3 linked regions of the Styela clava genome follow. The protein of the gene in region 1 purifies or fractionates together with the protein of each later gene. This does not show direct contact. Links are inferred from orthologs where the notes say so. Each region holds a gene or a part of one and is shown in the gene's direction. Other genes may lie near its edges.

Evidence for each region.
Region 2: the proteins of DNA-directed RNA polymerase II subunit RPB7 (region 1) and transcription initiation factor IIB-like purify together in Homo sapiens (affinity purification with mass spectrometry; 3 studies listed by BioGRID and IntAct, with this or other methods). This does not show direct contact. The link is inferred for Styela clava from reciprocal best matches to the Homo sapiens genes POLR2G and GTF2B.
Region 3: the proteins of DNA-directed RNA polymerase II subunit RPB7 (region 1) and RNA polymerase II subunit A C-terminal domain phosphatase-like purify together in Homo sapiens (affinity purification with mass spectrometry; 4 studies listed by BioGRID and IntAct, counting the BioPlex papers as one, with this or other methods). This does not show direct contact. The link is inferred for Styela clava from reciprocal best matches to the Homo sapiens genes POLR2G and CTDP1.

The regions. Positions count from the first base shown.
Region 1 is NC_135251.1:13,536,928-13,544,048, forward strand, and holds DNA-directed RNA polymerase II subunit RPB7, read left to right. Parts: upstream 1-4,359; 5' UTR 4,360-4,499; coding exon 4,500-4,511; intron 4,512-4,776; coding exon 4,777-4,886; intron 4,887-5,350; coding exon 5,351-5,561; intron 5,562-5,850; coding exon 5,851-5,988; intron 5,989-6,337; coding exon 6,338-6,385; 3' UTR 6,386-6,603; downstream 6,604-7,121. Other genes in the region: putative deoxyribonuclease TATDN3, read right to left, coding at 213-356, 576-656, 801-969, 1,470-1,501, 1,631-1,810, 2,374-2,589. UniProt on the Homo sapiens protein: Core component of RNA polymerase II (Pol II), a DNA-dependent RNA polymerase which synthesizes mRNA precursors and many functional non-coding RNAs using the four ribonucleoside triphosphates as substrates.
Region 2 is NC_135254.1:20,967,404-20,974,906, forward strand, and holds the start of transcription initiation factor IIB-like, read left to right. Parts: upstream 1-4,484; 5' UTR 4,485-4,750; coding exon 4,751-4,764; intron 4,765-5,951; coding exon 5,952-6,120; intron 6,121-6,521; exon of another isoform or gene 6,522-6,523; coding exon 6,524-6,623; intron 6,624-7,384; coding exon 7,385-7,500; intron 7,501-7,503. UniProt on the Homo sapiens protein: General transcription factor that plays a role in transcription initiation by RNA polymerase II (Pol II). Involved in the pre-initiation complex (PIC) formation and Pol II recruitment at promoter DNA.
Region 3 is NC_135255.1:24,223,048-24,231,134, reverse strand, and holds the start of RNA polymerase II subunit A C-terminal domain phosphatase-like, read left to right. Parts: upstream 1-5,024; 5' UTR 5,025-5,036; coding exon 5,037-5,286; intron 5,287-7,014; coding exon 7,015-8,087. UniProt on the Homo sapiens protein: Processively dephosphorylates 'Ser-2' and 'Ser-5' of the heptad repeats YSPTSPS in the C-terminal domain of the largest RNA polymerase II subunit. This promotes the activity of RNA polymerase II.

The DNA.
Region 1 (7,121 bases):
GTCTCAATAACCTAACCTGTTTAATATTCAACCAGTTTTTGAAAAAATATCTTAATTTAAATCTTTTTTCGATGTGTTGTTATTGAAAAAAACTGGTACCTGATTGCACATGCTAGTTAGGACTGCATTCTAAATAATAATCCAATGAGCAAGCCCAATGCCAGACAAATCATGGCCTTCCGTCAACTCCGTCTCTATTTCAAATGTCCGCATCACTTCAGTAATACGCTTTTTAGCTTTGGAAACAACTTGCATGCATTTTCTGTTGTGATTTTTTGTACGTCTTCCACTGAAATACCTTTTATTTTCGCAATCCACTCGCATGATACTGTAATATTACTCGGTTCATTTCTGACCTGTGCGTAATAAAAAGTTTTGTATGAAATATAAATAAATAAAACATATATAAGCATTGTATAGTCATTGATGAAGCTAGTTGTTGACATATATGTACGGCTCAGATCTCAGATTAAAAAAATTGTTAGACAAAGTGCCCATATAGCAGAGTTGATGATATATTTTGTAAAAAAACAAAATGGACAAAAATGAAAGACAAAAGAAAATAGATGATCTACCTGCTTTTCTGGTCCTAAAGCTGGTGAATCAGTTTCAAGTAAAATATTGTCCATTGGAATTCGTTTGACAATGTTTTGTTTCTGAAAACAATGCAAATTTTGTGAAGCATCAAAGACAAAATGTTTAAATAATCAAGATAAAAGTACTTAACATGATTTGTGGCTTGTTTGTATCATTTTGACAATGGTGAATAAATTTTCAACAATTTCAGTTGATTACGGTACCTGTTCACTCCTCACAATACAGGGTGGTATAGAAAAATAATAACCGGCTTGAACTCCTTCCATTGCAGAAGCTGCATTCCCGCTGTATGCATGCAACACAACTTTTGTTGCACCACATTCCTTTAATGCTTTTATTGTCGGCCTACCTGCTGACCGTGAATGTACATTTCTAAAAAAATATCGTATTGAATAAAAGTGTTCATAAAATAAAAGTAACAAAATATTGCATCTGTTCTCAAGTAAACCGCCTTGCCTGCTACTAGGATAGGATTTACAGGATAGGATTTACATATTTATCCCGGGGGAGAGGAAAGCCGATAAGACGGCTTATCCATATGGCGAACCACGGCCTCTCGTCCGGTTACCATTCCAAGTCGGGTATGGGATTAGTTATATTGTTTGTTTTCGGAAGCATGGACTTGGTGGTGGAGGAAGCCGTAACCGACCAGCGGTTACGTGAACCACCCAACGACGGCGAGGAGTCCAGCAATCCTCTCGCACATAACCATCCCTGCATGGGATTCGAACCTGCGAACCCACGCGGAGTAATTAGAGGTGCGGTGGCGAGCGTATTCCTAACGCTTAGCCCGTTGAGCCACACCGCCGCGCCACTAGGAAGACTCATTTTTCATTTTAAACCATATCGATCTCAATAATAAAAATACTCACAATGGAAGATCATACTTCTGAGCCAGAGCGGCCTGTAATAGAAATGAGTTCAGATTACAACTGAAATAGTAGAAAATGTATTATTAACATTCAACAACAATTTAGTCAATTCAGTGAAAAATTAAAATGACAGATAAGATAATGGTGCTGACAAAGCGTACCTGGAGACGAAAAACTTCTCTTTGTTTCTCTTTACTATCGTTTTCTTTGGTATAAAAAGGTGTGAAATCAAGTCCAACTTCTCCTATTCCAACAATTTTATTGTAATGTGAATCAATAAATGGAATTGCATCCTTCAAATCATCTGGCATCACACTTCTTTCTGTGAGTTCGGAATCCCTCTTTATACAAAAATATATCAGTTTGGTGACAAGGATATACACAGCAGAATCCAAACGCTATTTTGATTCCTAAATGTTTACTTAAGAAGTCGATGTCACACATTTCCACTATTTTTTTATCTCATATATCACAAGTTAATAATATTAGAAAAATTTATTATATTTTTTATAGATTATAAATAATAATTTATAAATAATTATAAATTTATTAATACCCTCAATCAATTCCAAATTCCACAACAGAATAATTGTTTCCACATTATGTTTGCAGCAAATATGAATAGAATTGAATAGTTTGCAGACAGTATGAATACCATATTACTATGTCAAAATCATCCCTATCATGTCAAGTAAAACTTTAAATCATTGATTGAAATATACAATATAATATAGGAACATATGCGAAATTTCAAGCTCAAATAAGATGCATAATTGCAGTAACGCTTGAAAGCCGAAAGTATTTGATCTCCTGATTTTTAGACATGACTAGCTGGGCCATTCATTTCCAACATTCGAATGGGTGGCCATGTATCTGCATACTAAACATAAGTGGTTATGCATACCTGAACTGGATGGATTCCAAGGCAAGGAAACAAAAAGTCTGAATACTGTTTACAAATATCCAATGTCCTTTCAAATTCTGTAAAAAATTCAGGAACAACAATGATTGCTTTGATGTTTGCTTCCTTCCCTCGCTTCACAACAATATCTAGATCATCAGCAAACTCAGGTGCAGCAAGATGACAATGGCAGTCAACATAACCCATCTCCTCTTGCATTATTTATGCCTAATTGCCTCACCATGTATCTAGTACGGTACGGTAGGTACTGTAGTACGGTGCAGTAGTTGCAAAATCAAAATCAAGGACCTTTAAAAAAGAGAAAGGAGCTGTAGCTCAAACAGTTAACAGTCAGTCATTTCAATTAGTAAGCAGTTGAGGGAAAATATAGTTGACTCTTAACTAAATTTAAAAATCAGCAAAACTTGATCCTTTCTCAAAATATGTTTCAATGTACATTGTCCCATCGCTGGAGCTGTCGGGGAACAAAAGTTTCAAAATGCTTTTAGAAACAAATCGCGAGAGATATCGAGTCTATTTCCGGGGAATACCCTGACATGTGTTGATGAAATTTTGAGTAGCCACTAAGTGGCGATGCTGGTCAGTAATTCATCTGCATTCAACTCTCACTCATCGCACTGTTTAATAGGGAAATTGTGTTGAATAATGTTTTATAAGGATTTAATTTGGTATTCAAATTTATAAGATGTTTCATACAGCTATTTCCCTATTTAGATACACACACAACCACGACCTAGAATCCCCGAATTTGCTGCATTCAAGTATTTAAAATCAGCTTCATTTATGTACATGATATGTGGGGTAGATTCTGATGATCTCTCAATTACCATAATTGGACGGTAGAAGTTAGAAGTATATTACGTTTAATTTATCTACCTAATTTTTGTTATTATTCCGTGTAAGTTGTCCACTTTCACGTTTTTCAACTTTATTTTAAGTTATGCCAGTATGCTCATGTCCGCCTTCCAGGTATCACTGCATTTTGTTTGTCTGTCTACTTTTTGTGCTGTTATGGTTTTATGTCAGAGTACCGAAATAAATAAATAATTCATCAATTTTCTGGGAACATTTAAACCAGTGGGGATTGACAAAAAAAAGTTTGACATGATTTGTAGTCTAATTATGTTTAGCATGCTGGCTGATTTTATTTATATAAATGCAAAATTGGTAAAGACAGAAAGACGATCGAAGTTTAATAGCTTTTTTGCCACTATAAAAGAGAGTATTAAAATATTGGTTCTGAAAAGGGAAAGATAGGCAAACATTGAAAAATGAGAATTCGTGGTATTGTCTATTACGATTGTATTAAAATCGGTATATATTTTTATATATGAAACCTAATAAAATCCAGTCCAGCTGGTAGTTGTTAGTCTTAAGTGGATATTTCGGGTCTCATGTAGTTTCCTACCTAACATACTTCTAGCGGGCGTAGCACAACAATTTTTTCATGTGTCAATCCTAACCCCCACCTGACTATGCCATCCAAATATTACGTCTCTACGACGTCACAGTGACGTAATAGAGACCTTCAAACTATACCAACTGTCATCCAAGACGCGCACGTCTGCGCACCCGAAATCGAACGGCTATTTCTCTCGTTTTTACGTGGCGACGATTCCAATATGAGAGAGATCGCTGACGTTAGTAAGTTCTTTATCGTCGGCGCAGATGCCATTTCAGACGATAGTACGTATATTTAACAAGCTCTATGACGTGATTGTGATGTCGTAGTGACGTAATTTTTGGATGGCATAGTCTGGTGGGGGTTAGGATTGACATGTCAAAATTGTGATGCTACGCCCACTAGAAGTATGTTAGGTAAGAAACTACACGAGACCCGATATTTCTCCTTTTACCTGCTTATTGATAGAGTTTATAGATCTATATTTTAACCCTTTTTCACAGTGCCTAATTCTTTGAAAAATAACTCGTGAAATATCAAGATTATATCTAAATGCCGAAATGGGTTTTTGAATTTTCTTCTTGCAGAGTATTTATCATTACTGAATATTGATATTAAATTAAGAGCTTCGACAGTGAATATTTTACCGGAATATAAGAGGGATACACTGGTAATAACTAAAAGGTCATTACTGCATGCAAATAATATGTTTTATCATGTAAGTATGGGATTGATTTTTCTATATTTTTATTTGTTCATAAAATTGGAAATAAAGAAACAATATTCATGTCTGTATATTAATGGTTCAAAAACAGTGAAAGTGTGTCCCGATTTATCAATATTTTATTTTCTACAAGAAGTTGTATTACAAAATGGAAAAGATATTCAGTAATAAAATCTGATTATGTTCAATACAGTTTAATTCCAATCTTTTGTCTCTAACTTGGACCAAAATGATACATAACACAGAAACTTTATTACAGATTTCCTTGGAGCATGAAATACTTCTTCACCCAAGATATTTTGGACCGAATTTGCTGCAAACAGTCAAGCAAAAGCTGTTTGCAGAAGTTGAAGGAACCTGTACTGGAAAGTATGTCACCCATGGATGTTCAAAATGAACAAAATATCCGACTTGATATGAAATTAAATATATTATGTTCTTGATTTTAGGAATAACTTAAAATAGTTACATTCTAAAAACTATTATTTTAAACAGATGAAATCTCACAATATGATCAAAAAAGAACTTGATTGGATTCCTAATCCTATAAACGATAACCTATAGATTCAACCAAGCCATGTTTATATCAATTTACCTACATTTGCAAATTACCGCATTCAGTCTTTTTAATCAGTAATCACTAATCAGTAATCCCATGAACTGAATTGATGAATCCCAATAATTAATTTTTCCTTACTGGGTAGAAAAAAAACTCCAGTTTCGATTTTATTAGATTTTGTGCATTTTGAACTGATTTTATTATTAGGAATCGTTTTGCTGGTCCAGACAATGTACAATACATATTACAATACATATTTCAAATTGTATTTTAGGCATGGGTTTGTAATAGCGGTTACTACAATTGATAATATTGGTGATGGAAAAATACAACCCGGAAGAGGTTTTGTTCTATATCCGATAAAATACAAAGCAATTGTGTTCCGACCTTTCAAGGGTGAAGTCGTAGATGCCGTAGTGACACAAGTCAATAAAGTTGGACTTTTTACAGAAATTGGACCTATGTCATGTTTTATATCTAGACATGTATGTATGAAACCATTTTTTTTTTTGACTCTATATGGCCATTCATTAAGCTTTGTAAGTGTACATCATGATTCATGACATCAAAAAACACAAATGTTTTTTTTTCGGCATGCTGATTCCATAAGGCTATCTTGTCGCTAGTGGCATTCGTCACACTTCACTCAGTAAGATTATTTTCTGCATCCCTTTAATGTGTTGATGCAGCGCTCCTTATATTAATAGCCATGAGCTCCTGCTCTATAATAAAGTGTCATGTTGCAGTTTTAAAATGAATTAATTTTTTCATCAGTCAATTCCATCAGATATGAAGTTTGATCCAGAATCTCATCCTCCGTGTTATAAAACAGAAGATGAAGATGTTGTTATACAGCAAGATGATGAAATTCGATTAAAAATCGTTGGTACAAGAGTTGATGCAAATGATATTGTAAGTTAAACAATTTAAGGGTTTCATTCCAGTGTTGGATAAAAGATAATTAGGCTTTTGTCAAGTCAGCACGTGTATCCTTGTCGCAAAATTTTAGTTATGAAATATTTATCAAACGTAAGTTAAGTTCATATACTGTGCATTCGCACACAAGTACATTAATTAAAGATAATATGTTTTATCATTTCTCGATACATACTACTTTACAAGTCTTCACCAACACCCAGCGATGTGATTAGCCCAGTGGGGTTTCAAAGACTCAATTTTTGGTCCAAGATTATTGTTGAATTATATAATGGTATACAACTCAGATTTTTAAAAAATAATGTAAGAAATATTCATTTTCCAGTTTGCCATTGGTTCACTTATGGATGATTTCTTAGGACTGGTCAGTTAGTATTTTAACAAAGGTCTCAAACTTTGGAAAATGAAACTTGCGTCGACGGTTCTCCATGAAAAGAACTCACTAGAGATTGGATGAACTGCATTGCATCTTGGGGGACAGCATAACTTGCTATTGAACCATATTACTGGTTTTCTCTACGATTGACTCAATAAAATTTAAGACTTTTTCTTTGTCTTGAATAAATTTTTGCAAATATTTGTTTAGTAGTATTCAAGGATATAATTTCTTTGATGTAGTTGATGATATGTGTTGTACGGCAGGTCAGGTCACAGAAATTACCTATAGTTTCTTGTCGAATCATGATAAATGCTGTATGGTTTAGCCCAGTGGTTCTCGAACTTTTTTGTGATCTGACGCCCCCCTGAAAAATCTGCTCAAGTTGCGAGTGAATAAAGGTGATAAACATGATACTTTCCTCAATAAAATACCTTTTCTGCCATGAGTTTATTTAAACGAACAAACAAAATATAACTAAAGTGGGTGAAATCACATTTAATGGGGTGGATGAGTCTTTTTACAAATGTCAATGGAACTTTGGGGTGAAGAGCCACACGTGTTTTTGTTTGATCTTTTCATTGATTACTCTAGATCGGTCATTCGTCTTGATTACGACCATGGTAAAAACTAAATACATGCTGTAGTAAGATAATTTTAAAAAGGTCAATTCCCCAACATCCTGATTCAATTGGCTTGCAAAACAGCAGCTCTTCTACAGCTTTTTGTTCAT
Region 2 (7,503 bases), on another chromosome or scaffold:
CAAAGTTAGTAATTTTAATGTTTGCGCTTAAAACATTGAAATTTCATTTAAAGAGAGTGTCATGCAAAACTGTTTTTACTTCTCTTAACGGTGCTGTGATACAATTCCATAACACAAAGTTTGCACCTATCGAACATGCTTCAGTAGGTTAATTTATTAGACATATATATTACATATTTAGTTAACCGTAGGTAACATTGCTGGTACATAATGCCTCGTAGATAGGTTTGTGTCTAAATTTAGGAATTTAGTTCATAGCCCACTAATTAATATTATCTTACCGATCATCTGACGATGCTCATTTAGTTTGGCTCGAGCAAGTTTTCATGAAAGACTTGTATGAATGGAAACTGCCTATATGTTTTGCTTTCCTCCGATTTTAGAAGACAAATTTATTCTGAGGGATTTGGCATATAATTCTCATTGATTGTTGGCTGTTTATGATTCCTATTAATTGTGAATTCTGATTATAACAAAGAGTTAAAAATCATTTTACGTAATTTACGGGCACCTTTTTCTTGTCAATACTCCAAGCTGAGGTAATAAACAAGACAATACTGTACATTTATGTCATCTGGAAGCAAAATATGCACACTAATTAAAAGTTTGACACATTGAGATAATACATCATGACAGAAAATACAAGTTAAAGATATGTATGACCATCACATGGTAATTAAAATTAAAAAAAAATTAATAGGGGCTGTGGAGTATATAAAGTTCAAGACAAAGAAAAGAACATAAGTTCATAGCTCATGAACTCTCAATTTTGCCTCCATTGCTTTGTGAAGGCCAATATATTCCGAGTGGCTGAATTGGTTTACCTTTATGATAGCAACGATTTTGTATTCAATATAGCGAGATTTTTTTCAATTTAATTGCAGTGATATTATTTCCCAAAGCAATGCTTGAATCGTCTAGAATAGATCAGTGGTGTCAAACTCAAGGGTTTTTGAGAGCCGCATTGCATTTTGGAAATTGTAAAAAGGGCCAAAAACACTTTTTGATAATGTATACTTGAAAGATATTTTTCAGATAGTTTTAGTTTGTGACATATATTGTGATGCAACTAAACAGTTGGATTAAGTTTTATTATTTTCTTTAATTTCAAATGCAATTACATATTAATATTTGCATTCCACTATTATTGCAAGTTACTGTATTTATTACAAAAAATCATAAAATTCTATATACAACCATCAAAATCATTTTTGAACAAGCTTTAGATAAGGAAAGAATAATACATACACTAAAAATGACTTAATCTAAATACATGGACTTGAAATTAACAAAAATACTACAGTATAAACTCAATGTTTTTTTAATTACATTTGTCCTGACGTTTGGCATCTTTTTTGTGTCACCAGCATACTAAGGCAAGGCTGAAATGATTTTATAGTACCAACTCTAACTAACGAGGACACGTGATCATGGGTTTTTCTAGATCTTTGCGAATGTTTAATTAATTCCAGTAATGCAAAAAAGTTTCTTTTATCATTTCATGAATAGATCAGTAAAAAAACAAATGACAGATACGACACGACATTTCGCGCCACATTGCATAGGATTGCTTGAATTAATATTGATATTAATTTTTAGTCACTAATTCGTTGTATATTTATATTAATATACAAACACATGGTAATTTTCTGTTCGAAGTTGGTCTTCGAAATTGTCATATTGACTGCCGAGCTTATTGTGTTTTTTTATTGTACTGATGAAAATATGACAAATTGAACAATGTGCTTCAAAATTTTGTGAAATGCAGAAATATTGCAACTTCCATTTTCTTCGAAAATGCCACCTTCTTCATGTACTTTGCGTTCAATTTATTCACTCAAGTGTTTTATTCAAGTATTCTTTTGCTAGCTTGATGTGTATTCTTAATTGGGTCAAAATGTGAACAAAAAAATTAACTTTCCAAAACTACTTTCAGTAAATTGCTTTCTGTGTGAATATTCAATTTCACTTTAAAAGGGTTGAAAAATCTATTACACTTAGATAAAAAAAACTCCAAAATACAATTACAATTATTGTTAAGCGTTCGAGGGCCGCACTGGAAGTTCTCCGGGGCCGCGAGTTTGATATCCCTGGTCTAGATTGAAGTTGTCCTAAATATAAAACAGTATTTTATCATGAATCATGATTATACCATTTCCTGAATTTCTTCTTTAGTAGGCCTACTACCAAAAGTTGATGAATCAAATATAACACAGGTGTAGTGAGTGACCCATAATCCTCATTTTCCAAAGCTGTTTTAAGTATGTCTGGCATGTTTTGTGCATTTTTACGAATAAGACCGCTTATGCAATCTTACGCTTTGGAATTTTTAGTTATTTTCCTTAAGCCCTGCAGGATGTAGGGGCCATACACAACTCTACCGGAGGGTCAAATGTCTTTGCATGTCTCCATAGGTTGTTCTTCTATTGCAAACATTTATGGAGTATTCTGATTGTATTTCTTGGAATCACACTGTCACTGATATGTCGACAGACTTCTGATATCTCCCCTTCTGCTACAGTTGTCATGTGAATAAATAATAGAAAATTGAGGTTGGACGAATAGTTGAAAGTTTTGCTTTATGTCGGCTTAATTTCTTGATTGATATACTTTCTATTTTTGCTATTGCCTCTTGTGCTGCAGGAGTCCCACAATGCTTAGACAGGTTTTCCCACAACTTTTACATCTAAAGAAAGAGAGGAGATTTAATAATTTTCGTTAAGAATAAATAAAGCAGTCTATATGATTTAGATTGGAAAAGCTAATAAATCCAATATCTCATGTTTTATGTAAAAAATGTTTTACTGAATTTGGTATATAAACCAACTAATAAAGGGGTTTACAGAAAATTACTATACAATATAGACCGGTATGAGTGAAATGTTAGGTGAACTTGTTAACCCTTTGATTCAATACGCAAATAAAAGTGAATGAGCAATAGTATGTTACAGCAATGAGTATATATCCTCACTGATTAAAAATAATCTAATTGGAGGTGCATGAACTATTTGAAACCGTAAGGGGTAAGTAAATATGCAATTCCGGCAAATGGGCAACTACGTACCGTACTGATTTAATAACTTCGTAGTATTTGGCAAAAGTCGGCTTTCCCACATGTACTTAACAGTGCAATGCCCGGGTGTGATATACAACAATAGTATTTACCTTACTTTTTTCCGATTTCTTTTTACCTTCAATTTTCCAATATATCATTAAAATCGACAACAACTGTCAAAGCAGGAACGAACACCATTAGTGCTATGCCTTGAAAGCAGCACACATCCGCTCGTTTTCGTCTCGTCAAGTATGTGCATTGGAGCGTGCTATCGGATACGATCTTCGGCCAAAAATGCCTGGGTTGCGCATCATGTTGTTTAATGTCATTGATTACATTATCAGGGGAGCGGAAGCCGATAATAAAGTTAAATCATATGGCAAACCACGACCTCTCGTCCGGTTATCATTTCATGCCGGATTGACATGCAAGAATGTTAATATTTCGACGTTTTGGCTTCAGACGGTTACGTAACGGCGACTTTACAACGCCAGTCGTGCTAAAAATACGCTCTGAATTAACTGACGTAGGTGGGCATGAAAGCAAGCTTACGGCCAAAGCGAACATCGCTTGGCATTCGTTTCTGTTTTGTGAGCATGTGGCCAAAAAACAAGTTCAATCAATCAATCAATCAATCAATCAATCAATCAATCAATTTTATTTGGTCACTCTGATACAAACAAAAAGCAAAACAACAACAAAGGGCAAACAAAATACAGAGGACTTGGAGGACGGGCATAACTCAATAATAAAGTTAAATACGTACAAGTACGTGCCCGTCCCCCCAAAACACAATAAACCAAAAACACGATGTGACCTCGGGCAATATCTTATAAATTCAAATTAAAATGTGAGACGTGTATGTGCTTTTCCTACAGATATATGGATTAAAGAACACTCGCTGCCGAAAAATGATGATGCAGTAGGCCTAGTTCAATTACGTTGCAAAAGTGACACAGTGACAAATTTTTATTTTATTTTTTTACTGAAAAACAAGCTCGGTAAATGGACTGAATGTTCCATAGCAGTCTACGCACAAATCATGGATTGGGGTGTTGGGTTCTTTTGTCGTTTTCGGTTAGTTCAGTTTAAAATCATCGTATCCGTTCCAATGCAAGTTAGGATAGGATAGGATTTTACATATTTATCCAGGGGGAGAGGAAAGCCGATAAGACGGCTTATCCATATGGCGAACCACGGCCTCTCGTCCGGTTACCATTCCAAGTCGGGTATGGGATTAGTTATATTGTTTTTCGGAAGCATGGACTTGGCAAGAACGCAGTACGGCGTACGCTACTGATCGCGTATTGTTGCATCACAATCGAAAACGTGTTTTTTGCCGTTTTCACTTTGACGTCACAGACTCGGACGATTCGATTCGAGTCCATGATCTATTACTTTACTCGGATTCGCCGAATACCGGACTCGTCCTAACAGGTTTGTGAGGTCAAAGGTCGAAAAACATTGCATCAACCCTCAACCGACGATTGAAAAATTCAGCCTATCTGTGAATTAGCTTATCAGTAAATCAGGCCTATGGCGCGTGTCTGAACATCTCATTGGTCTGAAAACTCCCGAGGTAGCAATTCTGCCTTCATTCGAAGCTCTGTTCTGCTGTTACAGTGTTGAAACTAGTCTTGTATTTGAGACCGACAGACAGGGTTTTCAACTGTAGACAAAGAATCTGATCTGACAATGTCAGGTTCTAGGTGAGTAGAGAGAGAGATTTATTTCGTCAACCAGAAAAACTACAGTCATAATAAGCTATAAATTAAAAACATATAAATTAATGTATATTTACTGATAAACATGGGAAACTTTATCTGAAATCAACAATGGAATAATATGAATTGCTGGATAATACTGAATGATGTTTACGAATATATTTGTTTATTATATGTAACTATGTTCTATGATTATTATTTTTTCATCATTTATTTATTTTTACAAAACTGTTATGAATCCACAACGTGGACCTTAAAAAAAAACATAATAATAAATAAATAATGGCTATAAAAAATACACTTTTTTCGGAAGGAGCGATACGACCATGCGGTCATCGAAGTCAGCCCCCTCTAAGTTTACGATGATAAGTTCACAGTAAAATATGACTATTAGAAATGGTTAAAGTTCACGAAACAAAATTTGGAAAAACAAACAAACAAAAAAATGAAGTAGGCCTAAATAAAAGTAAATAATTTTTTTCTGTGAAATCAATTTTTAAATGATGAGATTTGTGAAATGAAACAGTTTGGGCAAATAATCAACGATTACACTATTATTTGAAAGTGAGGAGTAAGCCCCACAAATAAAAAAACAATTTTGGCTATTGGACTACTATACTCAAATGTAAATTTGGACACATAACAATTGTTCGAATCAGCAAAGAGTCAGCCTTACATGTACGAATAAATTTCAGGAGATAAACAACATGGTACTCATGTAAAAACAATTGTTTAAAGCGAGGAATCAGCCTTATTGGAAATATGAGATCTATCATCAGTCTGTTAGTATTGCGGTACTGCAGTTCAAATTGTATTTTTATGTTTTTATCATCTTTTTAATAAATTAAAGAATTTAGAAAACCTGCAGACCTGTGTTAGCAGCATTGTGAATTGGGGTAGGCCAAAACCCTTGATCATTTCACAATTACAGATTAAAAACAGTGTTTTGATTTGTTCTCAAAAATATAATAAAGGAATTTTGATCAATTTCTGAGATTTCAATTGCTTGAAATGATAATTTATGCAATGTAACTATCACTGTACTGAATTATGTGGAACACACAATAAGAAACTATTGCCATGTCTTCATGTTGTCATAATTTTTTGGCTTCTGCTGTAATAAATATGTTCAATATCAAGAGTCATTTCAACACTGTTTTCAAATATTTCAGCAAAAATCATCATCGTCAAGTCTGTTGCCCTCAGCATCCAGATGCTCCTTTGATTGAAGATTACAGGGCAGGGGATATGGTGTGTCCTGAATGTGGCTTAGTAGTTGGTGACAGAGTGGTGGATGTAGGGTCGGAGTGGCGTACTTTCAGCAATGATAAAGACTCTAAGGTACTCTGAGTTCATGTATTTTATACTTGTATTCTCTTATGTCTGTATGTATAAAATGGCTGATCATATGAAAAATTTTTGTTGTGAAAAATCACCAATTTTTTCTATAAATAGATGTTGAATGCGAAATGATTCGATAGCTATTTTCAGATGTCATGACAGTGTTTTCATCAACGAAATATGGAAAACACTTGAAATACAAAGTTACTATTTTTTGAAGCTGGGAAATTGTTTTTGTTTTGAATTATACGATTCCTTGCTTTATCTCTCAATCAAAGTTCAGCGGCTTACCAATGGCACCCGGCAGATAAAAATGAAACGTAACAGAATGCTAAACTTGCTTAATTAGTTTTCAACCAATCTATTTGATCATATTCTATATGATTGTATAATTTGATTACAGGATATGTCTCGTGTTGGAGATGCAGAAAACTCACTACTTTCTGGAAGTGACTTGTCAACAATAATTGAGCGACCTTCTGGTCCTGGTGGAGATGATTCAGGTTATTCAGTGTGATTAAATTTCATTCACCCCTGTGGGGTATAGGAATATCAATCGTTCTTATGTACAACCTATATGAGAGGTCAGGAACCCATGGCTCGGGGGCCATATATGGCTCTTTTGGTAACGACATATGGCTCCCAGAAAAATCTAAGGCTAAGCTTACTATTGTTACAAGATTTCAAACACTTTTATAGCCAAATTTGCCAATATGTTTGAGAACGCCCAGCACATGTCTATGTTATATAGGAGAATTACCAGACAGACATTGTGACAAAACTAGGGGATTCCGGAACATCTTTCGTGACATCACAAAGCGATAGAATCGCGGAGCAATAGAATAAAGCTTAGTCTGTTTTTACGTACTAGTCACAGTATTTGTCATATTTAAATTAGATTAACAAAGCTAGTTTTTGAAATACTACGGAGATTCCTAAACGAAAGAAGGGTGATGAGTGTTATAGATTTCAACTTGTGCTGCATGTCAGCAATCCTGCAACGACAACAGGTAGCATCAGAAGTCACATTAAATGTATATTGACATTGTATGTTGACTTTTGAGCAAAAATTTCAGGCCTGATTAAGGAAGAAATGCTCTATGGCTCGCACAGAAATGCAGTTAAAATATGTACCTTTCATGGCACTCTTGACCAAAAAGGTTCTCGACCCCTGACCAATATATTAATTTTTGAATGAAGTGTTTGATTTTAATTATTTCACTTGATTCAGTAAGGTTCAAATACATGTACAACCATTTTTCAGGTTTTGCCAAGTTTTCCAACCGAAAATCAATGAATAGTGCAGACAGAGTATTAATCGGTGCTTTTAGAGAAATAGCAACAATGGCTGACAGAATAAATCTTCCTAAAAACATTGTGGTA
Region 3 (8,087 bases), on another chromosome or scaffold:
AATGGGAAATAATCAAATCGAATGCCTCTTGTGCGGAAGGGTGTGCTGCTAGGCTTTCAAAATTGACTAAATTAGCTTTTTTCGCTATACGTAATTTTTCCAAAAAAGGCCATTTTCGCTATGAGAATACCCCAGATTCTAAAATAAAGAAGGCTCAGGTTCTATTTGTGTGGCAAACTTAAGGTAAACCTCTTTAACATGAGATAATCAAATCTAATGCCTCTTGTGCGGAAGGGTGTGCTGCTAGGCTTTGAAAATTGACTAATTAGCTTTTTTCGCTATACGTAATTTTTCAAAATAAGGCCATTTCGCCGTAAGAATAACGTAGATTCTAAAACAAAAAAGGCTTAGGTTCTAGTTGTGTGGAAAACTTCAGGTAATCTTCTTTAATGGGAAATAATCAAATCGAATGCCTCTTGTGCGGAAGGGTGTGCTGCTAGGCTTTCAAAAATGACTAAATTAGCTTTTTTCGCTATGCGTAATTTTTCTAATTAGGGCCATTTTCGCCATGAGAAAAACGTAGATTCTAAAATAAAAAAGGCTTAGGTTCTAGTTGTGTGGAAAACTTCAGGTATACCTCTTTAACATGAAATAATCAAATCGAATGCCTCTTGTGCGGAAGGGTGTGCTGCTAGGCTTTGAAAATTAACTAAATTACCTTTTTTCGCTATTCGTAATTTTTCAAAATAAGGCTATTTTCGCCATAAGAATAACGTAGATTCCAAAATAAAAAAGGCTTAGGTTCTAGTTGTGTGAAAAACTTCAGAAAAACCTCTTTAACGTGAAATAATCAAATCGAATGCCTCTTGTGCGGAAGAGTGTGCTGCTAGGCTTTGAAAATGGACTACATTAGCTTTTCTCGCTATACCTAATATTTCCAAATAAGGCCATTTTCGCTATGAGAATACCCCAGATTCTAAAATAAAAAAGGCTTAGGTTCTAGTTGTGTGAAAAACTTCTGGTAATCTTCTTTAATGGGAAATAATCAAACCGAATGCCTCTTGTGGGGAAGGGTGTGCAGCTGGGCTTTGAAAATTGTCTAAATTATCTTTTGTCGATATATGTATTTTTTTCAAACAAGGCCATATTCGCTATGAGAATACCCCAGATTCTAAAATAAAAAAGGCTTAGGTTCTAGTTGAGTGAAAAACTTCAGGTAAACCTCTTTAATAACAAATAATGAAATCGAATGTCTTTTGTGCAGAAGGGTGTGTTGCTGGACTTTGAAAATTGACTAGATTTAACTTTTTTCGTTATACGTAATTTTTCCAAATAAGGTCATTTTCGCTATGAGAAAAACGTAGATTCTAAAATAAAAAAAAGACTTAGGTTCTAGTTGTGGGAAAAAATTAACATAAACCTCTTTATTAATAAATAATGAAATCGAATGCCTCTCCCGCGGAAGGGATTTTTGCTTGGATTTGAAATTATCTGGCTTATCTGCTTTTTCGAAGGAAGTTAAATAAAATTCGTTTCCCCTTTTTTTTGTTTTTTCATTCCTTTTCAAACTTTTATTATTTATTTTTTTGCTATATAATTGTTATTTTTGCTAAATTATAAACATATTTCCCATAATAGTATGCTAATTTCGTTTATCTTCATTTTTTCGGGTGTAGATTCTGACACGCCTCCATTTCTGCCATAAATATTAACCTTTCCGCTTCGCCGCACACAAAGGTCAAATTGCTACTAGCTTCACAGTGGTTATATTTACAGCAATGGCGCCACGACTGGAAAAGTTGCAGCTATGCTAAAATATATTATGTAGTGGGGGCTTCGTTCAGTCAGTAGTTTATCTTTCACCAAATTGAAAATGCACTTACCAGCTTACTGTGAACAAAAATTAGAAAAAAAAGTTGAATATAACATTTCACGGTGAACGGTGACGCAAAAAACGGTACCGGGGTACCGGTGCCGTATACTGGTATATAAATACTGAAATATATGTTGCCGTATATCTAAATACTGAAATATATAGTTAAATACGGGTACTCAGATACTGGTACCGGTACTGGATATAGATGCAGCTATATAGGATAAGATGGTTTTGCATGTTTCTCTTGGCTGCTTGGGGAAACTGGGAAAGGAATGCTGTAAGCGGTTGGTGCTCCAATAATGCCAAACAAAAACGTGATGTGAAAATACAACCCCGTCTTGCGCGAACACAATACGCTAAATCTGTAAATGCATGGAAGAAACGGACGGCGGACAACTCGACTCATGATAGGACAGATGAGTTGTCCAGCTTCTCGCATTTTAGACGGCGACGTTTTAAGACAATAAGGGTTTAATTTCGATCATTTTACATTGAAATTTCACATCACAATTTCGTTGGGTGTTATTTGAGCAGTTACGACGTTCATTTCACATAACATTTTTGTTAGACGTTATTTAAGCAGTCATGGCGTTTACTAGACCACATCAGTGGGCCATCGCCCACCGGTTGAGAATCGGTGTACTAGACCCAATTCTGCAATTAGTTTTGAATTTATAGTGGTTGAAAATTGTTGTTATCGCCGGAAGGCAATAACTTTCAATTATTTCAAACATTATTCACCATGAAGTTCTGTGTAAAGTCGTCTCTCTACTGTCCCTGCACTATGCACAAAAACTCCATTTTAGTTTGCTGTTCAATAATTGTTGATAGATAGATAACTGGTAATGTGAAACTTGCAATCGGAAAGTCTGACCTTGGTCAGATGAATAGTTACAGAAATACATTTATGTTAGTGTAGCAAGACTCTTAAAATGCATAATAAGGTATTTTTATTCCTGCTACAGCATCCTTACATTATACGCATAATCAACAGATCCACTAGCGCAAAGGCATTGCAGTACGGCACACTTTACAGATCGAGAGACAATCTCTCGTTTTAGAGAAACCTATTTTAACGGTGATCGAATATCCCTCCTTCGATGGACGTCTGGCGGATTTTGTCTCCCGATATCGATAAATTGAAGCTGCGCAGTAAACTAACAAAAAGCGCAATCTAAAACCATCACCATTGAATTCCTCGTGAAAAAATAATCAGATCTACCGATGTAAAAAAAATTTTACCGGTGCGTTCGAGAGAAATGAGCAAAAAACGATTGACGGCGTGTGACGTCACTGAATTTCAATCGACGCACGCAGGCACGCATCGGCCGTTCCTCGACGTAAACCTTGGCGTGCCGTGTTTCTCTCATTTTCAATGTAGATAGGATGGCGTGTTAACGATAATAAATGGATCAGAGATAATAAAAATTACATTTTGATAACACACAATCGATAAACAGTAAAATTAATGCCTCGATATAGCATTAGATGAATTAGTTCATAAAGCAATAATTTAATCTAATGCCGCAACGAGACATTCATATGCCGCAAAATGTGCAACTTGCGTAATTTATACAAGAATAGATCGGCGAAAAACGAGAATTAAATTAGCAAAATAACTTAATATAATGCCACATCGATGTATTCATATGCCGCAAATGTTCAGTTTGCATAATTTATACTAGTATAGATCGGTAAAAAACAAGATTCAAAATAATATAATGTCCCATCGATACATTCATATGCCGCAAATGTTTAACTTCGAAAGTTACGGTATACGAGAATAATTTAATTCAATGCCACATCGAGGCATTCATATGCCACAAATGTTAATCTATACGAAAATAATTTAATTCATATGCCGCAAATGATCAACTTGCGTAATTTACACAATAATAGATCGGCAAGAAACAAGAATCAAATTAGCAAAATAATGTAATATCATGCGGCATCGATGTATTCATATGCCGCAAATGTTCAATTTGCGTAATTTATACTAGTATAGATCGATGAAAAACAAGATTCAAACTAATATAATGCGGCATCGATACATTCATATGTCGCGAATGTTTAACTTCGAAGTATACGGAATACGAGAATATTTTAATTCAATGCCACGTCGAGGCAATCATATACCGCAAATGTTAATTTGCGTGATTTATGCAAGAATAGATAGGTGAAAAACAAGAATCAAATTAATATAATGCCGCATTGATGCATTCGTATGCCGCAAATGATCAATTTACGTAGTCTGTGAAAAACAAGAATCAAATTGGCAAAATAGTTTAATCCAATTAATCATCGAGGCTTTTATTTTACTATAGATTGTTGACGCTCAAATTTAAATAAAAATCTCGAATATAATTATTAAATGATATCGTAATTCGTAATCGTTGTGCGTTCTGGAAGTTTCAGTTCTAAATAACCGAAGATGCTATGTTAAATTGTTGTAATTACAGGTATTAACGGGCATACAAAGTTTCACTATCGATATTAATTTAACTATTGAAAAAAAAACTTCGATATCGTGCATCGTTTTGACTTCGTTATACGACAATTCAAACGATGTCATGTAGTCACAAACACCTATAATAAAATTAGTTGGAATCATAGACGTATTAATCGAAACGCATAATTTTGTAATCTCTTGATATTATTTAAAAGTAATTATTTTATTCACAGACGTTTGCATTTACGCAACATTATTTTAATTAGGCACTACCAACAGTAGACTAAATATAATGATTCAGAAATACATCGTATATCTAACCATATAGGTCAGTATACATCGGTAAAAAACGAAAATCAAATTAGCAAAATTCGAGAGCCGTGCCGAACTGCCGATCTGTGCGTGACTTTCTTTGACGTCATATCCAGACATCTGACGTTCTCACGCATCGAGCTCGCAGACGACTCGACGCCCCCGGTTTCACAGACGCCTATCCATATTTTGGCTCTTCCGGAATGTAGACGCAAATCCGGATTCGGGATAGTGTGCCGTACTGCATTGGTTCAACCTCGACTGATAATAATGAATAAGTCAATATTATTATCAAATAATAAGTTTACACTCAAATACAAAATAAATTTTCCTTCCCCAAGCAATAAAATTTTTCTGTGAGCTGGAATTTCAGGATGAGGAACATTGTCTTATTTTAGTCTAATAACATTCGTATTCCTTCTTCGTACCATGTTTATTCGCAGGGTTGATTAGTCAGTAATGGCGGAAATAAAACTTGTCCATGTACCTGGGCATAAACCGATTAGAATATTGAAATGGTTGGTAAAGAAAGGGGAATGGATAAAACATGGCACACCTCTTGCGATATATCGACACGTGGAAGATCCAACGAAGCAAACAAAGATGAAAGAATTACATCTGAAATCGAAACATGTTGGGACAGTGAAAATGTTCTTGATGCACGAAGGCCAAGTTGCCATTTCTGAGGGCGTTCTACTGGAAATAGAAGGTGGGAAGCATAGCATTTTATTTTAGTGAATTCCATAAACTAGGGCTCTCAACCTGGGGTTCACAAGGAGATTTTCAGGAGTATTCAGTTGTGTTTTCATGTGTTGTTATTTTTTTAAATCCTCTACTATTAGAGAAAAATTTGTGCTTATTCAAACACTGCAGAGATTTCCCCTGGGGTTGCATTGTTGTGACTCAACAATGTGAAATCCAAGGCTTTGCGGCCAAACTATGAAATCTCAAAAGACAATGTGCCGCTAGCATTGCAGAAGATGATATCTATATGCTGATTGAAACTTTAAAGGGGGATTTTAATAACATGGGAATTTAATAATATCGGAAGCATAACATTGTGTTATAATGAATTCTATAATGCATTGTATAAGTATATTTTGTCTATAAGTTTATATTGAAGTCCTTTACCCTTGGCTGCTTCGATATTGGATCCATATGTGGTTGAACGATATGGCTCGGCAGTGTGGTGCATCATGCTAAGTGTTTAGAATACGCTCGCCATGGCATTTTTGATTACTCTGCGTGGGTTCGAGATTCGAATTCTGTGCTGGGTTAATTATGTGCGAGAGGATTGCTGGACTCCTCGCCTCCTAAGGGTGGTTCTTGTGTATCTGCTGGTCAGTTACGACTTCTTCCATCATCCATGCATCCAAAAACACTACAGGGGTGGTGAGTAGTGACTTCCCTATGGGCCGGGGCCACGGCCCATATAATAGGACCGCAGCCCATTGGCGATGGGCCATGGCCCATGTGACTTAAATTTTTTGGTGACGTTGCCAGGTGAGGGTTAGGAATGACGTATACATAAATTGAGCCAGACCAACCAGAAGTAGGCTGCATGTGGTACTATACTATACAAGACCTAAAGTTTATCTTTACTCAATTTAAGTATTTTCACATATTACAATTGTATAAATTGTCGTAAAAGACTTGAAATTTACGGTCCATCGCTAATGGGCTGCGGCCCAATTAGATGGGCCTCGGCCCATGGGCTGTAGAGGAGTCACCACTTCCACTCCAAAAACAACTGACTAACTTATCCCATATCCGACATGGAATGGTAACTGGACAAGATGCTTCGGTTAGCCATATGATTAAGCCGCTCTATCGACTTTCTTCTCCACCGGGATAAATAGGTAAATCCTGTCCTAGTATTGTTGTGCTGAATAGGAATAACCAAATCAAATTGTATGCTTGTTAATGTTTGCACTTTGTTGGATAAATTCCAGCTAGGTTAGGTTGAAGGAAGGGGGTTAGATATTTCATTTCAAAGTCAATAGAACACAACAGGTTATGTAGTATTATACTTAGGGCCACGTGTAATTATTGTCATATATGTATGTTAATCAAACGGGTGAGATTGATTGGAGACATTTTGCTGAGACCGGGGCTACCATTATTTTTGGAGGCTTCGGCTCTATTTTTTTTTTCATTTATAATTTCCTTAATAGCAGATAGTAAGGTGAAAGTATGTTTTATTCGTAAAAACATGTTGAAAATACATGGATGGAACGTAGATAGTAGAATATTTTCATTTTTAATTAGCTTGACATGCCCTCCCCTAATAAAAATTGTCTACGCCCCCTTGTGGCCGTCCCAAAGTTCGAGCACCACTGGTTTAAATGATAACCTGGAAAACCAAAACATCGTAATATATTTTGCAATAAATTTCGACTATGTTGGCGTCATATGATTCATGCTTTTAATTTTTCAGGTTGCGCTCACCCAGTTGTGATGAAGGATATGTGTGCCGAGTGCGGTCAGGATCTCAGAATGATAGATGAGGGCCGGGCCAAGCATGAAAGACAGAAATCACATTCTGCTACCGTTTCTATGATTCCGAGCATTCCTGAGCTGCGAATTAGCGCTGAACAAGCGGAAGAAATCGCACAACAAGATAAAAACAGACTTCATCGGATGAAAAAACTTGTATTATTGGTGGATTTGGATCAAACATTGATTCATACGACACAAGATCCAGGGCTCGCAGCTCTTTGCCATTCCACAGATGAATTTTATTCTTTCCAGCTCAGTAAAAATGACCCAATGCTATTCACGAAACTTCGTCCTCATTGTCGTGAGTTTTTGAAAGAAATATCTCAGCGTTATGAATTGCAAATCGTTACATTCGGTTCACGGCAGTACGCTCACAAAATCGCTGACTTCATTGATAAAGAAAAAAAATATTTTGCTCATCGGATCCTGTCAAGAGATGAGTGCATTCATCCGTTTAAAAAATCTGGAAATCTTCGACATTTATTTCCTTGTGGCGATTCTATGGTTTGCATTATTGATGACAGGGATGATGTTTGGAACGCCGTGCCAAACTTGATCATGGTCAGAAAGTATAATTATTTCCAAGGGACAGGCGACATCAACAATCCATACAAGAAGGAACTACAGAAAACAGAAATTGAAGTGAGTCGACGCAAACGCAAATCTGAGGAAGAAGGAACGGAGAGAGTTTCTGATGCAAAACGAACGAAGGAAGATATTGATGGACCACTGGATTCGAATAAAAATAAAATTGTCACCAAAGACGAGGTGGACGATGATTTGAATATTTCGTCTGATTCCGAATCGAGTTCAGACTCTGGGTCAAGTACGAGCAGTAGCGATAATTCAACCTCGGATGGCGAAGATACACAGAAGTCCGAAGCTTTATCGCAACCGTCTGTCGATCAAACCTCAGAACAAAATGGTGACAAATCGCCCAGTGTATCTCATGAGTCACAGCAGAAAGAACAAAACTCTGTAACACCAGAAGAAAATTCTGATACAAAAAAT